Oryza sativa Japonica Group: one gene and its partners. Each later gene encodes a partner of the first gene's protein in a complex. Links are inferred from orthologs where the notes say so. Each region holds a gene or a part of one and is shown in the gene's direction. Other genes may lie near its edges.

Region 1 (4,210 bases):
AGGAAAAAAAAGAAGAATGAGAAGAAAACGGAAAAGAAAAGGAAAAAAAGAAAAAAAAGAAAAGGACACGTCACGTCCATGTGGCATTGCCACATCAGCGCCACGTAGGATCCTAGAGGGGATGTATCAATTTGGGGCCAAGATGATACACTTTGACAAGTTCTGAGACCTGGATATCCATTTTGAGAGTTTAGAGACATATACGACACAACCCTACAAGTTTAAGGACCGCCAACACACTTTACTCTTCTCTAAATAAAACCAATTTAACCTTTGAGTGTCCGCCTACCCTATTAGGGCAGTCCCAACCCATAGTGTCCATAAGCAGTGTCTATGATATCATGTCAATAAGACATCACAATAGAAACTACACTCTACAACCCATGGTTTCTTAAACTAGGCCACTAATAAATACATCATCTCTCTTCTCTACCAATCATATTTATTCTTCATCTATTATGAAGATACTATTCTCTCCCAATACAAAATTTGATAGTGTCTAGTGCATAGGTTCTCGTGTTGAGGCTGTGTCTTGCATGAGACCCAGTTTCTTCCTCTCTTCACTTACTCTCTGAATTAATATAGTGCCATATAAGCTAAAAGTCCTACATGGCAATGTAGTTAATGCTATAGACACCATCCTAGATGGAGGGTTGGGGCTGCCCTTAGGGCACCCACAATGGTTATCTATAGGCTCTCTACAAGAGATCTATGTCAGCATATTTTCCTACTTGGAAGGTATTAAATGAAGAGAGAGAGCAAAGCTATCTACTAACTTATAGATAGTCTATAGAGAAAAACGAGGCAATGCATGAGAGAGCTATAGATACCAATGTAGACATACTATTGAGGTGGTTTACTATTAATCGAGTCTATTGCTGAGATGTACATGTTTTATAGAGAGCACCTTAGAGCACCCGAACCATCCGCAATGGTTCAGGTGCTCTAAGGTGCTCTCTATAAAACATGTACATCTCAGCAATAGACGAATGGTTCGGGTGCTCTAAGGTGCTCTCTATAAAACATGTACATCTCAGCAATAGACTCGATTAATAGTAAACCACTTCAATAGTATGTCTACATTGGTATCTATAGCTCTCTCATGCATTGCCTCGTTTTTCTCTATAGACTATCTATAAGTTAGTAGATAGCTTTGCTCTCTCTCTTCATTTAATACCTTCCAAGTAGAAAAATATGCTGACATGGATCTCTTGTAGAGAGCCTATAAATAACCATTGTGGATGCCTTCCATGTTGACTTTGTTTTGTATAGACCATAGAAGCACCCGATAATCCACCCATCGAGTGACAAAGCTCCTGAATCGAGAATGGAAAATCCTGGCCGTTCATTCCCCGCCGTCGGAAGATGGCCGAAATCTTCCTGTGTTGAGGCATTCCGCATTCAGCCGACACGCCTCTCTCTCTCTCTCCGCTGCTGCTTGTGTCCTCCTCGCTCTCTCGCTAGTGTAGTCAACTCAAGTCGTCTCCCTCTCCCCATTTCGCCAGCTTGGGGTTTGGATTTCTCTCCGAATTCCGAGCTCCGCCGCCTCCGCGTGCCCGATTCCCCAACGGTCAACCCCTAAACCCTAGATTTCCATCCCGATTTCGACCACCGGTGCTCGAATTCCCCCGCAATTTTGGCGCTGCCACTCCCCCCCTCGATGGCGGCGCGGCCTGGGTTCGCGGCGGTGGGATAGAGGTGCCGCCGGTATGATTGGGGCGCGGCCGAGCGCGAAGGCGAGCATGAGCAGCAGAGGCGGCGGGGGTGGTGGCCGGGCCGGCAGGGTAGGCGGCGGTGGTGGCGGAGGAGCAGGAGGAGGAGGAGGAGGAGGAGGGGGAGGAGCAGCGGCGGCAGCAGCGGGTGGAGGAGGGGACTTCGGGAGGGCGGTGGCGAGGGCGGCGGTGGCGCGGATGCTGGAGGCGGCTGGCTTCGTCTGCGCGCACCGCTCGGCGGTGGACGCGCTCGTCGACGTCCTCCTGCGGTACATCTGCCAGCTCGGCCGTGCCGCCACGTTCCACGCCAACCTCGCCGGCCGCGCCGCCGCAAACGAGTGCGACGTCATACAGTTCCTCGAGGAGTGCGGCGCGGCCTACTATGGCTTCGCGGGGGCCGCCTCGGTTTCTGCCCGTTGCCTCGCCAACTCCGCCGTCGTCAAGGATATGGCCGTGTTTGTTGGCGCGTCCAAGGAATCCCCGTTCGCGGGCCGGCCATTGCCGAGGTTTCCGGTACAGCGTGTGCCGCTGCACTCGACGACGAGCTTTGCGGTCTTGGGTAGGGAGAGCGGGATGAGCCATGTCCCGGAATGGCTCCCGGCCTTTCCGGAACCTCACACGTATGTGAGGAGCGAGTTGTGGAGTGAGGAGGTGGCTAAGGCTGGGGCGGATGAGGTGGAGCGGGCGCGGCAGCGGAGGAAAGCTGAGAAGTCGCTGCTCAGCCTGCAACGGCGTCTTGCTCTTGCAGGTGCCGACGGGTTCCGACCAGGAATGCTGGTCGATGATGCAGTCAAAGCGAACGGACTAGATGTGGTTGAGAGCAAGGCGAATCCGTTTCATGAGCGAGCTTTGCCTTATGGGGAGAAGGCGGTGTCCGAGGTTACCATGCCTGGTGTGGGGAAGACATTCTCTGTTGTTGAGGCCTTCGCACCCGCATTTGAAGAATCAAAAGGTGGAGAATTTGATGAGGGTATGGATCAGGGCCAAAATGATAGTCAGACTCAGAAGAGGGTTGTTCCAAAAGAGAGGCCACCGGTGTATTTTAGAATTGGGATTGATAAGAAGTCAATGGTGATGGCACTGAATTCGAGAGCTCTGGTTGAACTGAAGGATCCCTGGTTCTTCAAGGAGGATAAGGAGCAGAGGGCAGAGTTGATACTAAGGGAAGCAATGGATAATCCACATGAACTTACTCAGCTTTAACGTTCCTGTATGTTTGCAGTACCCACAGAGCTGCATGGTGAATTTTGGACTGGCTAAACTAGGGACTTTTCAAATTCATGTTGGAGCAGCATTTGCCAAGATCTTGAGGTTTGTTTGTTTTTTCACTTAACTGTTCCTGGCAGATTTACTTCATAGCCATTACGTGCATCTCTATTAATTTGAGTGTATAACTGAAAACCACATAACTACACAAGAATATCCTTTTTTTTGTAATATGCACATTTTGTATTTAAAAGTACAAAGTTATCACATCACGAGATAACAGAGAATGCTACATGGATGGTTTATGTGTTGAATATATGTGGTAGTCACATTCTGTTATGCTTTTCCTTAAAGCTTTGGTTAGAAAAATAGCATCCACTGTATACAGTTCAAAAATTGCGAATCTACCTTCCACTGCTAGTTCTGATTAACTGGATTCCTTGTAGGCTACCACCACCGCACTAATATCCTAAATTAGAAGGATTGCTGATACGCACATGCAATCTATCTATCTATTATATACTAAAAGGTCATTAAACTTCCTCAAAACGCTCTCAAGCCGCCATATGGTGCTCTAATAAACTACTTCCTCCGTTTCACAATGTAAGACTTTCTAGCATTACTCATATTCATATAGATGTTAATGAATCTAGCCACATATGTGTATAGATTTATTAACATCTATATGAATGTGGGCAATGCTAGAAAGTCTTACATTGTGAAACGGAGGAAGTAAAGAAAATCGTAGAAAATCTGAGAAAAAAAAAGCAAAACATCTATCCCTTGATTTTCACTTAAATCAGTGGATCTTTAAATAAATCCAAACACGAAAAGTGACTATACTGTTCCACCTCTCCTTCCATGGTATATATATGTACGTACGTTAGTACGTAACTTTTTTTCTTTTCAATGTATATAGTTGAGACAATTATTATTACTATTATTAGTGATAATAAATTTTAAATAAAAGTTACTTTACAAACATAGAATAATATATCAGCATATAACTCTTTTACAAGTATACATAAATGAATTAGCTCTACAATACTTGAAAATAAAGTTTACACCATTATATTATATTATGTACCCATTATTTTAGATTATTTTATTAATGAAAATATTTGTCCATTTCTTTTGTTAAGTAGTCATGGTTGGTTTTACAAAGTTTCATTAATTTTTGTGATATAAATTATAGCGAACTTATTGATTATAATTTACATGACAAAACTATATTGTTAACCGTATTATATAATAGAAATAAACTTTACTTAAAAAACTTCAAAATTTATAAG
Region 2 (4,252 bases), on another chromosome or scaffold:
TTTTTAAGAGAAGAAATCGCATGCTTGTAATCTGTTTGGCGATTGGTCAGTCTGACATAGATAACGAATGTTCAGAAGGATGATATGCAGATTTGTCAGAGAACGTGCTGCCCGCGTGTGTCCTCAAGACTTCAACTGCAATATCTGGTTCTCCGTGTAGGCAGAGAGATGTTCCCCAACGCAATGCCGCGCAAAATAATCAATTTTGCCGGCAGAGCGACAACTTGTTTTATAATCTGAAAACGAACTGACATCTTATTTTATCTGTAAAATGTGCAGTTCATGTAGGAGCATGATGTGCGTCCATGTTTTGTCTGAAACCGACTGAAAGATAAACAGAGAGCACTGGAGTAAGAGAATTTTCTGATTGTTTCTACATAGGAGTAGGAGAGTTTAAGGCGAAAGTTACTGGATGGAAAGGAAGTCTGACTAATCGAGCTTACCCAAAAATTCACAAAACGTAGCATCTCCATCCCATCAAGAGCAATATGTGCTCTAGTTCTTGTTTTTCATCTTGAGGGAGAAATTATCCGATTAAGTTTACATGTCTGAAGAGCCTAATCATTTTTGTATATCACTTATATGTGCTGTCCTAAAGATTTGATTTATGGAAGAGTAGAAGACAATTCTCACTTCACATTCCAAACAGGTCATAAATCGACAATATCGCTTGTTATTGTGCGGTTTCCGCGGTAACCGGACTTACCTTTGGATACACTAATAGTAACTTATCCCGTCAAATTCAAATAAATTTACATAATAATATGAACTTCTAATAGCATCGTCTAGTTTTTCATGGTTTACCGTGTGATTACCGTGCTTACGATTGGGTGCGGTAACTCAACCCCTGATGGTAAGGTTAGCCCTGCTCTAACTAGGAAAAAACAATAACAAACAGATATATAAGACACAGGTTTAACATCAGTACTCTTAACTATTCCCTCCGCTCAAAAATATACTACCTCCATTCTAGAATATTCGTCGTTTTGAGTTTTTTATTTGTAATGTTTGACCATTCGTCTTATTTAAAAGATTATGTTATTATTATTTATTTTGTTTGTGACTTGTTTTATTATCAAAATACCTTAAGTATGACTTATCCTTTTTAGGTTTGCATTATTTTTTAAATAAGACGAATGGTCGAATATTGCAAGCAAAAAGTCAAAACGATATCTAATTTGGGATGGAGGTAGTAATAAATTTTGACACTTTCATTTGTCCACAAAAGGCTAGTGAATATTATTAATGGGCTGGGCCAAACACCCACCAAAGAAAATTCCCAATGGGCCTTGAGTGATCCCCAATATACAGCCCATTACATGTACACCCCAGCAATCCAGGCCCACACGCAGCGAGAGAATTCGACTCCCGTTTAATTCCGGCCCAAATCCATCTCTTTCGACTGCTTACTTCTGCCCTAATCCACACACGTATCAGAAATTCGGAATACTCTGTTCGCACTTGCCCTTCCGGAACGCTCCCAAACCCTAGGCGCGTGACCATGTCGGGGTCGTACGGATCCGACGACTACCGCGGCGGCTACGGCGGCCGAGGTCGCGTCGGGATCCTGCGGGTTGTGTGCGTGCTTGCTTCTGGATCTGCTCCTGACTGGCTTGTGGTTTTTTTTGTAGGTGGCGGCGGAGGCGGCCGTGGGAGGGGAGGTGGCGGAGGAGGAGGGGGAGGATATGGTGGTGGTGGTGTGGGAGGTGGATATGGTGGTGGTGGCGGAGGATATGGCGGCGGTGGCGGAGGGTACGGCGGCGGTGGTAGAGGTGGCGGTGGAGGAGGAGGCTACGGCGGCGGTGGCGGCGGCGGGAGAGGTGGGGGTGGGGGTGGCGGTGGCCGAGGTGGCGGCGGGAGGGGTGGAGGACGTGACGGTGACTGGGTTTGCCCAGACCCGAGGTTTGTTTCGTTTACTCATTTGACGTTGTCTCGTTTGATTCGACTGTGACTGATGAAATCGTGGTTGTCCCGATTGTCTTGTAAATTATGCTACTTGGCCATGAAATCTAGGGTTTTTAGGTTGTTAAATTATAAATTATTGGGTTATTTGATAATTTGGTTTAGGATTTTGCATGGGGCATGTGTGAAGTGTCCTACTAAATTTTTGTTTCATCGTAGTATTGTGAGCATCAGAACTGCCAACAAATAGTTAACTGCATAATTCATTCTCTATGAGAGCTCCCTATAATCTTAGGTCACAAGTGCTAAATTTATGTTGAACCTCTAGATACATAAATATTATGTTATACTTGTCTCCCATGATTTCTTCCCCTCCCCTATGTTCTATTTTCCTTGGTATAGCAGAGTGGCAGAGAAGAAATTTCATATATGTTTTTGAAATGAGTTCATGGTGTTATTGGAAGCATTACAAAATACAGTAAATAAGCACTACAAAATACAGTAAATACTTTCTTTTATGAATATGTTTCTTTCAATATGGCATTAGTTGTCTTGCTGAGTTGGTTATATTTTGCAGAATATTCGGTTGCAATTTCATTGGTTCTCTTCCAATATTCCTAATATATTTGTTTATCATTCTTGTTCCAGTTGTGGCAATGTGAACTTTGCAAGGAGGACTGAATGCAACAAGTGTGGAGCACCTTCTCCTGCTGGAGGTGGAGGTGGAGGTGGAGGTGGAGGGTATAATAAATCTGGTGGAGGGGGTGGAGGCTACAATCGTGGTGGTGGCGATTTTAGTTCTGGAGGTGGCGGTGGCTACAACAGAGGTGGAGGAGATTACAACTCTGGTGGCCGTGGTGGTGGCACTGGAGGGGGAGGAAGAGGAGGAGGTTACAATAGAGGTGGTGGCGATGATCGTGGATTTGATGACCACCGTGGTGGCAGGGGTGGTTATGGGGGAAGAGACCAAGGGAACAACCAAAGGGGAGACGAAAGTGGTTATGACGCTGGTAGCTATGGACAAGTTCCTCCTCAAGGTCCTCCTTCCTATGGTGGGCCTGGTGGTGACTATGCAGCACCTCCAAGCTCCTATGGAGGCAATAATGCATACAATTCAGATTCTGCAGTGCCACCTCCTAGTAGCTATGGTGGTGGTCCAGGTTCATATCCACCAAGTTATGGTGCACCACCTCCGAACCCGCCATATAGCGGTGGTGCTCCAGGTGGCCAAGGTAGCCTACCTCCTTCATATGATGGTGGGTATGGTGGTCGGCCTATGCCTGGGGGTGGAGGCCCTGGTGCACCTCCACCCTATCATGGTGGTGGTGGTGGTGGTGGTGGCGGCGGCGGTGGCGGCGGATACACTGGCAGTGCTGCTCCAGAGCCAGCTGCAAAGGTTAAGCAGTGTGATGCAAACTGTGATGAGACTTGTGATAATGCAAGAATTTACATCTCCAACTTACCTCCTGATGTGACTGTTGAGGAACTGCAAGAACTATTTGGAGGAATCGGCCAGGTATACTTTGACCTCCTCTTGAGCTCCCACATATTTAGTGTTTATGAACTGTGCATTTCACGATTCGCTCACTGAAATATTTTGTGCATTTTATGTCTTTTTTCTAACCTCATGTTTTTCATTTTATGTGTTTCGCCATAATATCTTTTTCCAGTGTTACTGATATTACTTGTTGGAATTTAAGTAAATTTACAAATCAGTATTCAGATGATGTTTATAATCTGTAGTTGGGCTTGTTAACATTTTTTTCCCCTTTTGCTTTCACTACTGCTAGCACATTGCAAGTCATAGTTTTGCACAAAATCTGCTCCATCTGTTGTATACAGCGCAGTTAGAGCGAGCTTATTACATATTGTTTTTTTCCTTGCTAGTGGAGAAGTACACCCTTGTGTTTCAATGTGCATAATTAAATTTGGATATTTGTTTTGATGTAACATAATCATCTTGCAGTAATGATGCTCTTTTTTTTTGTAGAAGTAGTAGTACTGTAATTTTAGTTATAACCAAGCCATTCAATGATTTTGTAGTAATTTTGCTTTACTCCCATATTGGTATTTTATGCCAAATAATTCGTGGCATATCACCCCATGATGTTAATGTAAAATCTTTGATAATAAAGTAAAGTTGGTTTTACAGATTACTTAGTGTTCCTAGCTAAATTTATTGCAAGAAATTAATTTCTTTAGTTTTGGGGGTGGTAACTGCTTGTGTTTCATGGCTGTGTTTTGAGTTTTTGCAACTGCTTTTTTCTTAAGGTTGGAAGGATCAAGCAGAAACGTGGCTACAAAGACCAGTGGCCCTGGAACATAAAGATCTATACTGATGACTCTGGAA
Region 3 (4,071 bases), on another chromosome or scaffold:
CCGTAGGCCACCTCCCCTCTTTCCTCTTACTCTTCTTCTTCCTCTTTCCTCTCCTTCTCCTCTTCGAGATGAATGACGAGGGTAGAAGGCCGTTGATGAGTTCCCGAGCTTAACAAGTAGAGTAGCGAGGCAACCTCCCTGAGCTCAATGAGGCGAGTGCCGACGACTTCCCTGAGCTTGTGTAGCAGGCCCAGCGGCATCGGCTCCTTCATTGAGCTTATCGTGGGATCGAGGTTGTGCTGCTGGCACTTGTCTTCTCTGACCTCGGCAAGTGGGTGTTGGGGGGGGGAGAGCTCTGGGTCTACGATGACAGCAACACTTGGATAGGACGAGTGGCAGCGGATCTCAGAGCTTATGATGACATCGAAGCTTGGGTAGGAGGGGCCGATTACTGCCCATCAACCCTCCTTGGAACTTGCTGGTGATCCCGTCTTCTCCGTGCTCAGCAGTTCCTCTTCTCCAAGCTCGCCGCCAACCCCCCTCTTCTCTGACCTCAGCCAAGGGGCAAGCTCCACATCGAGCTTGCTGCCAACCTTCCTTTTCTTCCGAGCACGACCAAGGGGGTGGGCTCGGCACGAAGCTCTCCGCCGACCCCTTTCTTCTCTATGCTCGCATCTAGCTCGCAGCTCCGTCCATCTCGTCATGGCTGCCTCAAGCTCATAGAGGGAGGGAGTCGAAAGAGAGGGGAAGGTGAAAGAAGACTGTAGGACCTGCTGACGTGGTGTAAACCGCTCAGGGGGTATAAAGTGAATGGTATTAAAAGTTAGAGGGTGTGAAATATCCGGCTTTAGAGTATTGGGTGTATCTCTACTATTATAAAAACTGAAGATGTTTTTGCTAGAATTTTGGTTTGTCATCCATATTTGAGTCGGTTTTTAAGTTCGTTCACTTTTGAAAATACAGAACCGTGTTTGAGTTAGATTTTAAGCTTATTTCCTATTGGAAGTAAGTCGTATAAGAAATCTTTTAAAAAAACTCACATGCTAACTTCAAATTAAATACGGTCTCCTAATTGCAGCTCATGATTTTCTGAAAAAATATCCAATCAAATTTTCACAGTGAATTTTACCGTAGCTAAACCGTATAACAACAATAAAATTAAAATAGCATTTACCCGTTCCAATGCATAGACTTTTTTTTTCTAGTTTTAGACAAAAACGAAGACTTCATAGGTGTAAAATAGACTTATCCCTTTTTTTTCCAAACGGGCCTGAACTCCGCCCATCCTACGCTTATTACCAAAAGGGCCGGAGTACAGCCCACCACTCCCCTCCCTCTTCCCCCCTCCTTCTCGAGCCTCCGGCGACGACGACGACTCCCGCCGCTCTTCCTGGTCCATCGGCGGCGAACTTCCCCGCCGACGTGCCAGATCTCAAACCCCACTAGCTCCTCCGGCGAAGGCGGGGGACCAGAGGATGATGGGGAGCAACAGCGCAGGCGGAGGCGGCGGTGGCGCCATGGTTCCGGGGGGCATGGGGGGAGGAGGGCCCATGGGGGCAGCCGCCGCCGGCGGCGGCGGCGGCGGAGACGGGCGGCACGACGACGAGGCGGTCCTCACCGAGTTCCTCTCCTCCCTCATGGACTACACCCCTACGGTACGGCGCCTGCCGCCCATCTTGCCCTAGCTTCCCCCTCTCTTGGGTTTCGTGTCTGATGCGGTGGTGGTGGTGGTGGTGGTGGTGGTGCGGCAGATTCCCGACGAGCTGGTGGAGCACTACCTTGGCCGCAGCGGCTTCTACTGCCCCGACCTCCGCCTGTAAGCACCCCCATCTATCTCTCCAATAGTTCAATCTCTTCTCTCTTTCAGGAAGACTGCACCGTGCCTTCCAGGATGGGCCAATTGGTAGTTATTAAACTGAAATTCGTCCAGTGCCCGGAAATCACTGAAGAGATTTGGACTGAATTTTGCCTGATTCTTAGTACGTACAACATGGTGACAGTTAGATCTGATTGAGGCTGTTAGGATTGCATTGTAATGCAGCGTGTTGCCATTCTAGTCGAGGGAGAAAATCGCTGTATCCCTTTCAGCTTGGTGATTGTTGGTCGTCATGTGTGACAGCATGGCCTTATGAACCATAATTTTTGTGTTCTCTGCAGAACGAGGCTGGTTGCTGTAGCCACCCAAAAGTTCATTTCGGACATTGCAAGCGACTCTCTTCAGTATGTAACTTTTACTGCCTCATTCGTTTTGTTTTCCAACTTAAACGTATGTGCGATTATTTTGTTCCTTTTTAGTGGTTATCGATTCTTGGAGTCGAATTTTCGTTACCTTCAGATAGTGAATGAGAAATATGATTTCTGATGATGGTCATGAACCATGAGGTTTCTTGCATCATTCATAAATGGAGGTGTATGCAATATGCTTCATTCTTGAGATGTTGAGTAGCCTCATTTCTCCTATGCTGGCAGCTTTTTGAGATAACCATGTTGATTTTAGGCTTGTTTTCTTCATACTGTCAACTTGCATCTTCTTTGTGCTTCCTTTTTTTTGTTTCTATCATCCTTCTCACATTATGACCATGGAATGAAACATCAAACATGGTATCTTATGTCTATATTGTTAAGACAATAGATTGCGAAATATGCATAACATTGATGTGGTAGGGAATCTAATTTCAGTACTGACTGAAACTTTATGTGTAAAGTCAAGCTTCTTATGGTGTTGCTTGTATCATAACTTGTGACAGTTAAAAGGTATCATGCACACTAATTTGTTCATCACATGATTATTGTCCTGAACTAGGCACTGCAAAGCCAGGGTAGCAGCACCTATCAAAGATAACAAGAGCAAGCAACCTAAGGTGGGTTTAATTGCAGTTGGTGTACCATGGTACTACTAGCATGAAATCAGTACTTTTATTTACTGGTTCAGTCATTCTGTTCTTCAGGATAGGCGTCTTGTGTTAACAATGGATGATCTTTCCAAGGCCTTGCAAGAGGTAAACCATTTTCCTGTTGAATTTAAGCTTTCCCTTTTACTGCAGCTCACCAGTTACCACTGTACTTTACGTGATTGAAGTCACAGTTTATTCAGTTTGACGTATAATTGCAATTATTAGTTTTATTAGGACTTGAATCTCTGCATTAATAAATCTACTGTAGAATGGATTTAGTTAACCTTTTTTAGACCAATGGGATTACTTGTTAATGTTTTTTTTAATGAAACAAGTAGCCAAATTGATCAGTTGTATATGCTTCACGATGCTCACGATTAATCACAATTCAGATAGACTAATCAACTCAACAATCAGTCACAGCCTACTTGTATTGGAATATTTTACCAGAAGAACAAATGGGAAACTATTTTGATCCCTTGAGGGGATGTGCCGCTTAAAAATCATCTAAACGGTTATGAAAAATTCTAGAAAAATTTGACAACACTTATACAACATATCTATACAACTTCACAAAATCTTAAGTCCAAATTCAACTCACACATCGAGATATAAAAAAAGACAAATTCAGCGTATAAATAGTACCGCACTGTTAATATCTGAATTTGTCTTTTTGGGTTCTCGATGTGTAGGTCGAATTTGAACTTTATTTTTGGTGGACTATTAGATATAATTGTACTCTACATTGTCAATATTTTTCAGAATTTTTAACAACTATATTTGCATTGATTTTGAAAGAAAAATATATACGAGGGGACATCCCCTCGAGGGATTAGAATCCACTCCCCAGAACACATACATTATAGTACATGAAATAAGCATTTAAGCAGACCTGGGATGAGCTGCTCATATACAGGGATGAGCTGCTCATATACAGGTCTATTTGACAAATGATCTTCTATGCTTTCCCTTCCCAGCAATATTCTTGGCAAATGACTGATTCAGCTATAATCACATCATGGTCAGTACACTTATGTTTACAATTCCATGGTTCAGAATCAATCTACCTTCTACACACGAAACCTCACACAAAAGGGCATCCTTGACATGTCACAATATCACATAACTCTGGACTGTAATGCTCTACAGATGAGCTATCATTATAGAAGCTTTGTGCTTTCATGAAATATGTTTGTTCCACATACTACCAATTTGAGATTTATTTTTGTTTTCTAAC
Region 4 (4,210 bases), on another chromosome or scaffold:
GTTATATTTTGAGACGGATGGAGTACTAAACTCGGTGGCATAAAGTCAATTCCTTAGTACCAAAGATAACAAAAAAAAAAACAAAGTGGGAGGTAGGCAACAAGTTTTAGGAATTAAAAAAAAAGGGCATTGAGGAACATTCTAAAAATGAAGTTGCCATTGAAAAAAGATGAATTCATATCTCCACCCGTTTCTCATTAGGTCCATATCTTCCAAGAATATTACTTTGGAGTATTGAAAGAGTTAAGATATCAAGTTGCAAGTTGTCATGTCATTTAAGACCAGAGGTTTGCCACTCTTTCTCCTTGTGCACATTACCACCACAACCACTAATCTAGTTGTAGGTCCCATTGCAAATCCTTGTTCATTCATCGTCATCGGTCCTTAAGCACATCGCCATGATCTAATTTTAATGGCACTTAGATTTAGCCATCTCTTTAGCGGCGGTGGCAAGTGCTCCAACATTGACTTCTAACTTTCTATTGGAAACGTTTAGCTATTTGGTTATCATTATTGTCGAGTTGTTGACGCTCTACTCTCTATTATCAGATCTAGCCATAGGTACAATAATTTGCCTGTTCCTCGTCCTTTCCCTATATGAACCATTTTCTTCACATTTCTAAGTACTAACTCATTATCCTTTTTTAAGTGCTCTAATATTTTTGAAAGTGTTATTTCTCCTTTATCTTTAAGTGGCTCATGTCTTCTTTATCTATGCTCTCCTGTATCTCAAGTCTAATGTTGCAATCACTGACTGAAAATCACCCAGTTCTCGTAAAAATGCCGTGGGGACTGGTTTACGAAAACTAAGTGGTTTTACTCCCTCAAATATAGCAACCTTGTACCTCTGTCCAGATTCATTGTACTAAGATATGTCTCATCTAGTACAGGTTGTTATATTTTGGAACGGAGTGAGTAGCAATTTTCGTATGAAATTGATTAAAAATTGCTATTCTTATTGTTTTTTTTACCAAACCGATACAAACCGGTCTTCACTCGAAAACGGTAATGCAAAACTGGACAATATGGTGTGTTGCAAAATTTCTCAAATGGCCCGTTTGGTTGGAGAGAGTTTTCAGGAGGGATTGGGAGTTTAGAGGGATGAGGCTATTAAGTGTTTTGTTTGGTTGGGAGACATAAGAATTTTGGTGGGATGTAGATCCCTCCTTTTCAATACGGCAGGTAATTGGGAGGGAATTCCTCCTTTACTTTGTCTAAGCAAATCTCAGCCATCCATTTTTATTAATGACCTAATCTCTAACTAAACTCCTTATCAATTTTTATCATCTCTACCAAACAAGATATTAGGATTAAAAATTAAATTCTCATCTTAATCTCATCCGCAATTCCCTCGTGTAAACTCCAAATCATACCATACAAGCCGCAAGGACCGGAAAATTCTCGAATCGCCGCCGGTACGCTCACCAGCTGCTTCCTTCCCTTCGCCGCCGGTACGCTTCCGCCGCGATTGCCTCTCCCCCTTCCCGGCCTTACGCTCCGCCGCTAGTGTGAGGCTGACTCCACTCGTTTCCTTCCAGTTCGCCCCTCAGAAATCCATCACGGCTGTGCATAGTGCACGCGAAAGCCCTAAATCCAAGCGGCGGCGAGGAGCGAAGGGAAGGGGAGGGGAGCGCCGCCGGCCGTCGGGAAGAGGGGGCGGGCGGCGTCCGTCTCCCTCCCTCACCCCTCGCGTCCTTCGCTCTTCCGCCGGGATGCAGAACCCTGGCGGCCACCACGCTAGCCCGGCCTCGGCGGCCAAGTCCAAGTCCTCGACCGCTGCCGCCGCGTCGGCGTCGGGCCAGGGGAGCTCCCACCACCACCACCACCACCACTCCGGCGGCGGCGGCGGCGGCGGCGGCGGCGCCGACGCGTCCGCCACCACCCTCAAGCGCAAGCGCGGCGTCTTCCAGAAAGACCGTACGGCACTGTTTTTTCTAAACTTTAGTACTGCTGCTGTTCTTCGAATTCGTTGTTTATGCTGCATTTTTCCCCGTTCTTGCAGTGCAGCACATGATGTACGGATTTGGGGATGATCCAAATGTAAGCCCGACCTCGATCTATGCCTTTCATCTCTTAATTTTCAGGCTAGGAATTGTTTGGGGATAGGATGCAATTTGTGTACTTTGTGTTGTGGAACATTGGAGGTAATTAACACCGACAACGACAATAATTGCAAGTAGGCCATGGATTTACAACACAACTACATGATTGCCTAAGAAAGAATGGACATGCTGTTCTACCTTTTAAGTTAAAATCTTGTATGTAAATGACATCTTTCTGTTGGTTTTGCAGCCGCTTCCAGAAACTGTTGCACTTGTGGAGGACATTGTTGTAGAATATGTCACTGACCTGGTAAGCTTTCATTGTATTTGTCTTTCTTGTTTTCTACTGAAATTACATTTATGAAGGTTGTATGGATGAAAGGAGTTTATTTGGATTTCGACATCCTTATTTGTTGCCTTATTTAATTCAATTCTAGTGTTCTGGAAAGAGTGATTAGGTAGTTTTCTGGAAAGAGTGATTAGGTTCAGTGCTTCTGTTTGTCGGGAAACATGAAGCCTTTTATGTTTTGAGAATTAATAGGGGCTTCACTTTAACCTATAGTTCATATTTGTGTAGAGCCCAAGGGCTTGAAGTTTGAACACTGGTTTCGGGAAAAAAGAACTACTCCCTCTGGAAAATAAGTTGCCAGGTCTCTACTGGACAAAAGTTCGATTCCAAAATTTTGAATCAAAAAACCAGTTACCAGCTAGTTACCGGCAGTAAACCAGTTTTGTGATAAAAATATTGGATTCGAACTTTTTGCATGCTAATATGTAATAATTCAGATCCGGCATATGAAAGTAAACTAGTGTACCTGTACATGAAATTTCAAGAAAATATAAAGTTATACTTTATTCTTATGGTCTCAAATCTGAACTTTAATTTAAGTGTGAACTGTACTTTGGACTAGATTTTATTTCCTAAGTTGCACATTGGATTAGGTATTATCAAAGGTTTTCACTTTGAACCAGCTTATGGTATCAAATTTTGCACTTTGGACCATTAGTCCCACACGTCAGCCTCCATATAGTCATCTTCCTCGTCAGTCCTCTCGTCTCCTCTCCTTGTGCGCCATCATGTGCTCTCGTTGCGGCAGCTCATTTGTGCAGGCCGCTATGGTGGAGCATCTTGCCAAGCCTTTCTCAGCTAGTCCACCACAAATAAAAGCCTTAATTAACTTTTTCCATCCTCAGTTCCCTTCTCAATCATAAACCACCAGATAAGTTGAAGAGCTTCATACAGTGACAAACCTTCCAGACCTCTCCATGCTAATCACCTGACCATCCCCTGCTCTTGCACCCACTGGCCGGAACACCGTCTCAGCGCTATGGTGGAGCATCTTGAGCTCAAATCAGGGGCTAACACTAGTGGAGCTCGAGGCTGAGCAAAAGCTGGAGCTGGTGGATTACTGTGCATAGGCAGAGTGTAGCGATTGTGATGGCATTGGTAGAACTGCGGGTGGAGAAAGAGTTCTACAGACAGTTATATAAGCCCAAATTGCAACATAGAGGCAAACATACATAATCCAAAGTAAAAACATTGGCTAGAGCATATGGTTCAAATAGAAAGTTGGGTAAATATTCCTAGCCCAAGGTGCAATTCACTCCAATTTAAATTGTTCTGGCTGGTACACTCCATACCTGTTCAGCAACGGTTATAGTTATCACCAGGATTTGCATCTCTTGTGGAGCCCTTTTTGTTAATGATTCATAGAGCTTTGCCATCTTTTGGCAGTTCTTCCCTGCTTAAATTATCTGTAAACTATATTAAGAAAGGCATTTTCTTTAAAGTCTCTATATAGTCTACTTTCCTGCATGATATGGAACCTTGAGTTTGTAATCGTGCATAGTGTAAATGAAATGTACCTGTGACATGGGGTGAAGATATCTAAACATGCCCCACTTGTCTGAATATATTTTTGTAGATAATTTGTCCATGCGTGATCTGAATACGCGACGATATGAATTTATTAGGTCTGTTTACCCTGCAGACTTACTTTGCCCCAGGTTGTTGGACAAAATTTTTACATGACTACAATCTAGTATGCACTCTGTAACAGCAGAAATACACACCAAACACAAGAATTTAGTTAACTGTAATTTTTTATTTGATTTTAAATACCTGCATGTGGATAAAACCATATGTGTATGTAATGTTTATTTATGAT
Region 5 (4,102 bases), on another chromosome or scaffold:
CCCTCCCCCCCTGTTGCTGAAAGCGATCAGCGCAACCGAAGCGAGGAATAATAATCGGCAATGATAGCGGGAGTTTGGTCAGACGAGCCTCAGACGAACAGCCGGTCGAATATTCACTCTCATCACCAGCAAAGCGGAAAAAAAAACACGACGATATATGTGGCTCTCGTCGTTTTATATTCACATGTATGATGTATCATACGGAGTATGATAGTATATATGTGTGTGCATATAGTATGTTGTTTTTTATATTCGTGGAGCAAAGTGATCGGCGCCAGAAAGCACCTTTGTGCCGTCAATTTTATTCAGGGGAGAGAGAGCTGCAAGAACTAGCGAAGAATATTGTTGTGTGATCTGGGTAAGTAATCTAATGGCGAGGCTTTGCTTGGGCAAAGAGGAGGTCAATGGTGAGCGAGCGAGAATCCTATGCGTTAGGATTAGCGGCAATAAACAAAACGGCCTCCACTAAACAAGGCGCGATACGGAGGTAATGCAAAAGCTGTGAGAGGGGGGCAAAGCAAATCCTATCCTCCTCCTGAATGCCCAAATCCCAGCGTGATCGATCGGGGTTGTTGTTTTTGTAGCTGCTTAAGCTTTTTATTGCACACGTTTGATGCATCGTTCTCAGGATGGGTCTCTCGGTGGGTCAGTGCCCACGGCTTGGGAGTTTTCTGGTCCCGAAAACCTGTTGCACGATGTGATACGTCTCGAACGAAAAGATGAAACTTTTTTGTTGCTGTTCTGATGATGGTAGTAGTAGTAATCCTGTTTTTTTTTGTTCCTTTTTTCTTTACTTTGCGCCCGGCCATTGTAAGGTCCGCATCGGAGGTAGGCCACATCACGGTTTCAACTGTGTATAAGCGTGTAACATCTGCCGTTGCTGAAAGAATGCTCCTCTGATGTTGTTCTCTGACGTAAAAAAGGAATCTAGGATTATATGTGATATATTCTAGTATAGTGTGTTCAAATTTATGGTATTAGGATGTGTTATATCTAGTACTAAGTTGGTCTTTTATAAGACGGAGGGAGTACGTCGTTAATATGTAGGTTCACGAACTGCAAAATTCATATGTCAGTTAGAGAATTTGTTTCCGCCGCTGCTGCACGCGCCGTGAGGCGTGAGCTGCTCAGCGGTGGCGCGTTCGGCACGAGCGATTTGATTCACCGGTGAAAATTCTCGCGGCCGCCACGGAGAAATCGGCCCAGAAATCCGGCCCGAGAAAAAGGCCCACGCGCGAAGCAGCCCACCAAGCCCGGCGGCGGCGAGCAGGTAGGTCAACCCCGGCCCAAAAATTTTCAGAAGACTCTGGACTCTTGCGATTCGTCTCCAGCCGCGGCCATGAAGGACCCGTTCGAGGCGGCGGTGGAGGAGCAGGAGTCGCCGCCGGAGTCGCCGGCGGCGAACGAGGAGGACGCGGCCGGGGCGCCCGAGGGATACGACGGCGCCAGCGGGTCGCGCGGGCCTCCGCTGCGGCTGCCTCCTTCGAGGGCCGCGCCATCGGGCTCCGGTGGTGCCGCCGCGGCCGCGGCGAGGGGTAAGGTGGTGCGGGTCCAGAAGGAGCAGCAGGAGGAGGAGGATGACGAGGAGGACCACATGGAGGTCGACCTCGACAAGCTGCCCTCCGGCACCAGCGACCCCGACAAGCTCGCCAAGATGAAGTAGGTGCTTGGCTGCGCTCATCCTAAACCTAGTTTTGCCTTCTTCTGGTGCGTGCTATATATGAAGGGTTAACTGCATAAGGATCAACTAAATTCAGGAACCATATGACCGTCTGTTGAGTATATACGTTCTTTGATCGAGTTCAGTGTTTTAGCGTCCTTCACCCTTTTAACTTTGGTTAATTTGTGACAGTAAGATTTGTACTAGTGGAAATTTCTGAATTGGAGTAAGGATTGTTCGTGATTGTAGTTACAGAACAACCTGACATTATTCACTTCATAAAGACTGTAGTCCCAGTTTCCAGCTATATGTGAAGCGTTTACTGGCATAAAGATCAGTTAAAGTTAGGAACCATATGACTGTCTATTGAGAATATGTTCTTGATCAAGTTCAGTGTATTTTGGTGTCCTTCACCGTTCAACTTTGGTTAATTTGTGACAGTAAGATTTGTACTAGTGGAGATTTCTGAATTGGAAAAGGGGATTGTTCTCAATTGTTTGTGATTTTATTTACAGAACATCCTGACATTATGCACTTCTCAGATTTATGTTCCAATATATATAGTGAAATATTAAACCCATCTAAATAAGAATTCTATGTTTGAAAAACTATGTACTCCTTTTCCAGTGCCATACTGTCTCAATTTACAGAAGACCAGATGAACCGGTATGAGTCATTCCGCAGATCTGGATTCCAGAAATCTAACATGAAAAAGGTATGATCTCATTCCCAACATCCATTGATTTAATATCGTACAAGTATAAACTGCAATATCATGTGCGTGTGATGCGTGTGGCGCCTCCATCTGAATTGGCTTCAGTGTTCCCCTTTGCAATAAAAGCTTTCCACAAAATGTGGATCACATTAACATTTTCTGCTTTCTTAAGTCTTACAGTTACCTTATTTTCTGTTGAATAACACCTGTTCTATTTTGGTTCATGTTTCTTTTGTGGATGCATACCATGAGTTGTACAATGTACCATGCATGTCTTGTCCAAATTGTTGATAGAGCTTCATGTACAGGACAGTTGATTTCGCTCCAAGTTGTAGATAAATACATTTTTGCCTATGTCATCGTTTCTACTGATTGTAAGTGATGTACACTCTCTAAATAAAAAACCAAACTTGGTCAATATTCTTTTCTTCAATTTATAGGCAGGCTAAGAAAGCCTTTTTGTAGTGTCAATCCAAAGTTTGACCTTTTTCTCGGTAAAAATGTTACTTTTGGCTGTTGAATGCCTGAAGTTAACAATGCTTTGAAATTACGTTCTAGTCAGAGGGACAAGTGCTTTAATGTATTTCCTCATCAGTGGTTGAAATATGAGATCACTGCGTTATTGGAATGTTTTTCGGAGTTGCTAGAAATATGGCGCCATATGCTACAGTCGATTTTTTTTAACCACTTACACAGTAGTTACACCTCATTTACACCCCATTTACATATGTAATTAGTATGTAATTTCGAATTTACATATGTAATTTTATTACTTACATATGTAATTTTGAGACTTACATTGTAAATACACTAAAATTACATATGTAATTTAGGGACTTACAATGTAAATACATGCCGACTATTTTTTGATGAAAAATATGACGCCATAAATATAGCTACACCCATGTTTTTTTAAAGTTGATTTGATATTCTGTTTCCATGCAGCTATTGGCGAGCATTACTGGCAGTCAAAAGATTTCTCTACCAACAACAATTGTAGTATCAGGAATTGCAAAGATGTTTGTTGGTGAGCTTGTTGAAACAGGCAAGTCTAGAGTAATTATCTTATTTACTTTGTTGCTCATAGAACACTACCACCAAAGCACCTATGATTTTGATGTATGCTCATCTCTTAAAGCAAATCACTCTTATGACTGATCTTTTGTAATCGTCCGTGTTCAAATGTCCTTTTCTGCTTTCCATAAACTTGTTCTCTGACATCAGAAGAAAAAGGAGGGATGGCTTTATTCACTTTATTTTTGACAATTCGATTGTGTCTGTTGCAGCTAGAATAGTTATGACTGAGAGGAAAGATTCTGGACCAGTAAGGCCTTGCCACATCAGAGAAGCCTACAGAAGATTGAAACTTGAAGGGAAGATCCCACGGCGGACTGTTCCCAGGCTCTTCCGTTAGAATTGAAGCATCTCTGTTGATCCCAGTCGACACTGAGATGGTCCTTTCTGCGGTCAGATGCGCGGAAAGAGAGAATGACATGAGATGTATTTCTTCAGCTTTGTGAAATTGTTACTGTGATTTCTGTCGCAGCAAGGGAACCAGAGCAAACAGTACGTACAAGCTGAAGTACTACGGTACTACTAGCCGTGGAAAATTCTATGTATAAAGTATTGGCCGTAGGCTGTGAATTTTCAGGCTTATGAATAGTTGAACTGTGTACTATGCTGTTTGGAGTATGCGCTGAATCTGATTATATGCTTGTCTGCAATTA

Evidence for each region.
Region 2: transcription initiation factor TFIID subunit 8 (region 1) and transcription initiation factor TFIID subunit 15b share a complex: the UniProt entries of both Arabidopsis thaliana proteins name them as parts of the TFIID complex. The link is inferred for Oryza sativa Japonica Group from reciprocal best matches to the Arabidopsis thaliana genes TAF8 and TAF15b.
Region 3: transcription initiation factor TFIID subunit 8 (region 1) and transcription initiation factor TFIID subunit 10 share a complex: the UniProt entries of both Arabidopsis thaliana proteins name them as parts of the TFIID complex. The link is inferred for Oryza sativa Japonica Group from reciprocal best matches to the Arabidopsis thaliana genes TAF8 and TAFII15.
Region 4: transcription initiation factor TFIID subunit 8 (region 1) and transcription initiation factor TFIID subunit 13 share a complex: the UniProt entries of both Arabidopsis thaliana proteins name them as parts of the TFIID complex. The link is inferred for Oryza sativa Japonica Group from reciprocal best matches to the Arabidopsis thaliana genes TAF8 and TAF13.
Region 5: transcription initiation factor TFIID subunit 8 (region 1) and transcription initiation factor TFIID subunit 11 share a complex: the UniProt entries of both Arabidopsis thaliana proteins name them as parts of the TFIID complex. The link is inferred for Oryza sativa Japonica Group from reciprocal best matches to the Arabidopsis thaliana genes TAF8 and TAF11.

Annotation. Positions count from the first base shown.
Region 1 is NC_089037.1:23,460,522-23,464,731, reverse strand, and holds the start of transcription initiation factor TFIID subunit 8, read left to right. Parts: upstream 1-1,410; 5' UTR 1,411-1,709; coding exon 1,710-2,915; 3' UTR 2,916-3,023; intron 3,024-4,210. UniProt on the Arabidopsis thaliana protein: TAFs are components of the transcription factor IID (TFIID) complex that is essential for mediating regulation of RNA polymerase transcription.
Region 2 is NC_089035.1:3,329,996-3,334,247, forward strand, and holds the start of transcription initiation factor TFIID subunit 15b, read left to right. Parts: upstream 1-1,443; 5' UTR 1,444-1,501; coding exon 1,502-1,553; intron 1,554-1,631; coding exon 1,632-1,902; intron 1,903-2,550; coding exon 2,551-3,418; intron 3,419-4,173; coding exon 4,174-4,252. UniProt on the Arabidopsis thaliana protein: TAFs are components of the transcription factor IID (TFIID) complex that is essential for mediating regulation of RNA polymerase transcription.
Region 3 is NC_089043.1:20,160,794-20,164,864, reverse strand, and holds the start of transcription initiation factor TFIID subunit 10, read left to right. Parts: upstream 1-1,264; 5' UTR 1,265-1,415; coding exon 1,416-1,595; intron 1,596-1,691; coding exon 1,692-1,756; intron 1,757-2,097; coding exon 2,098-2,160; intron 2,161-2,743; coding exon 2,744-2,801; intron 2,802-2,888; coding exon 2,889-2,939; intron 2,940-4,071. UniProt on the Arabidopsis thaliana protein: TAFs are components of the transcription factor IID (TFIID) complex that is essential for mediating regulation of RNA polymerase transcription.
Region 4 is NC_089035.1:13,333,547-13,337,756, forward strand, and holds the start of transcription initiation factor TFIID subunit 13, read left to right. Parts: upstream 1-1,408; 5' UTR 1,409-1,451; intron 1,452-1,538; 5' UTR 1,539-1,712; coding exon 1,713-1,917; intron 1,918-2,002; coding exon 2,003-2,040; intron 2,041-2,292; coding exon 2,293-2,352; intron 2,353-4,210. UniProt on the Arabidopsis thaliana protein: TAFs are components of the transcription factor IID (TFIID) complex that is essential for mediating regulation of RNA polymerase transcription. May be involved in polycomb repressive complex 2 (PRC2) mediated repression.
Region 5 is NC_089035.1:28,595,789-28,599,890, forward strand, and holds the start of transcription initiation factor TFIID subunit 11, read left to right. Parts: upstream 1-1,298; 5' UTR 1,299-1,339; coding exon 1,340-1,659; intron 1,660-2,287; coding exon 2,288-2,375; intron 2,376-3,320; coding exon 3,321-3,420; intron 3,421-3,661; coding exon 3,662-3,789; 3' UTR 3,790-4,102. UniProt on the Arabidopsis thaliana protein: TAFs are components of the transcription factor IID (TFIID) complex that is essential for mediating regulation of RNA polymerase transcription.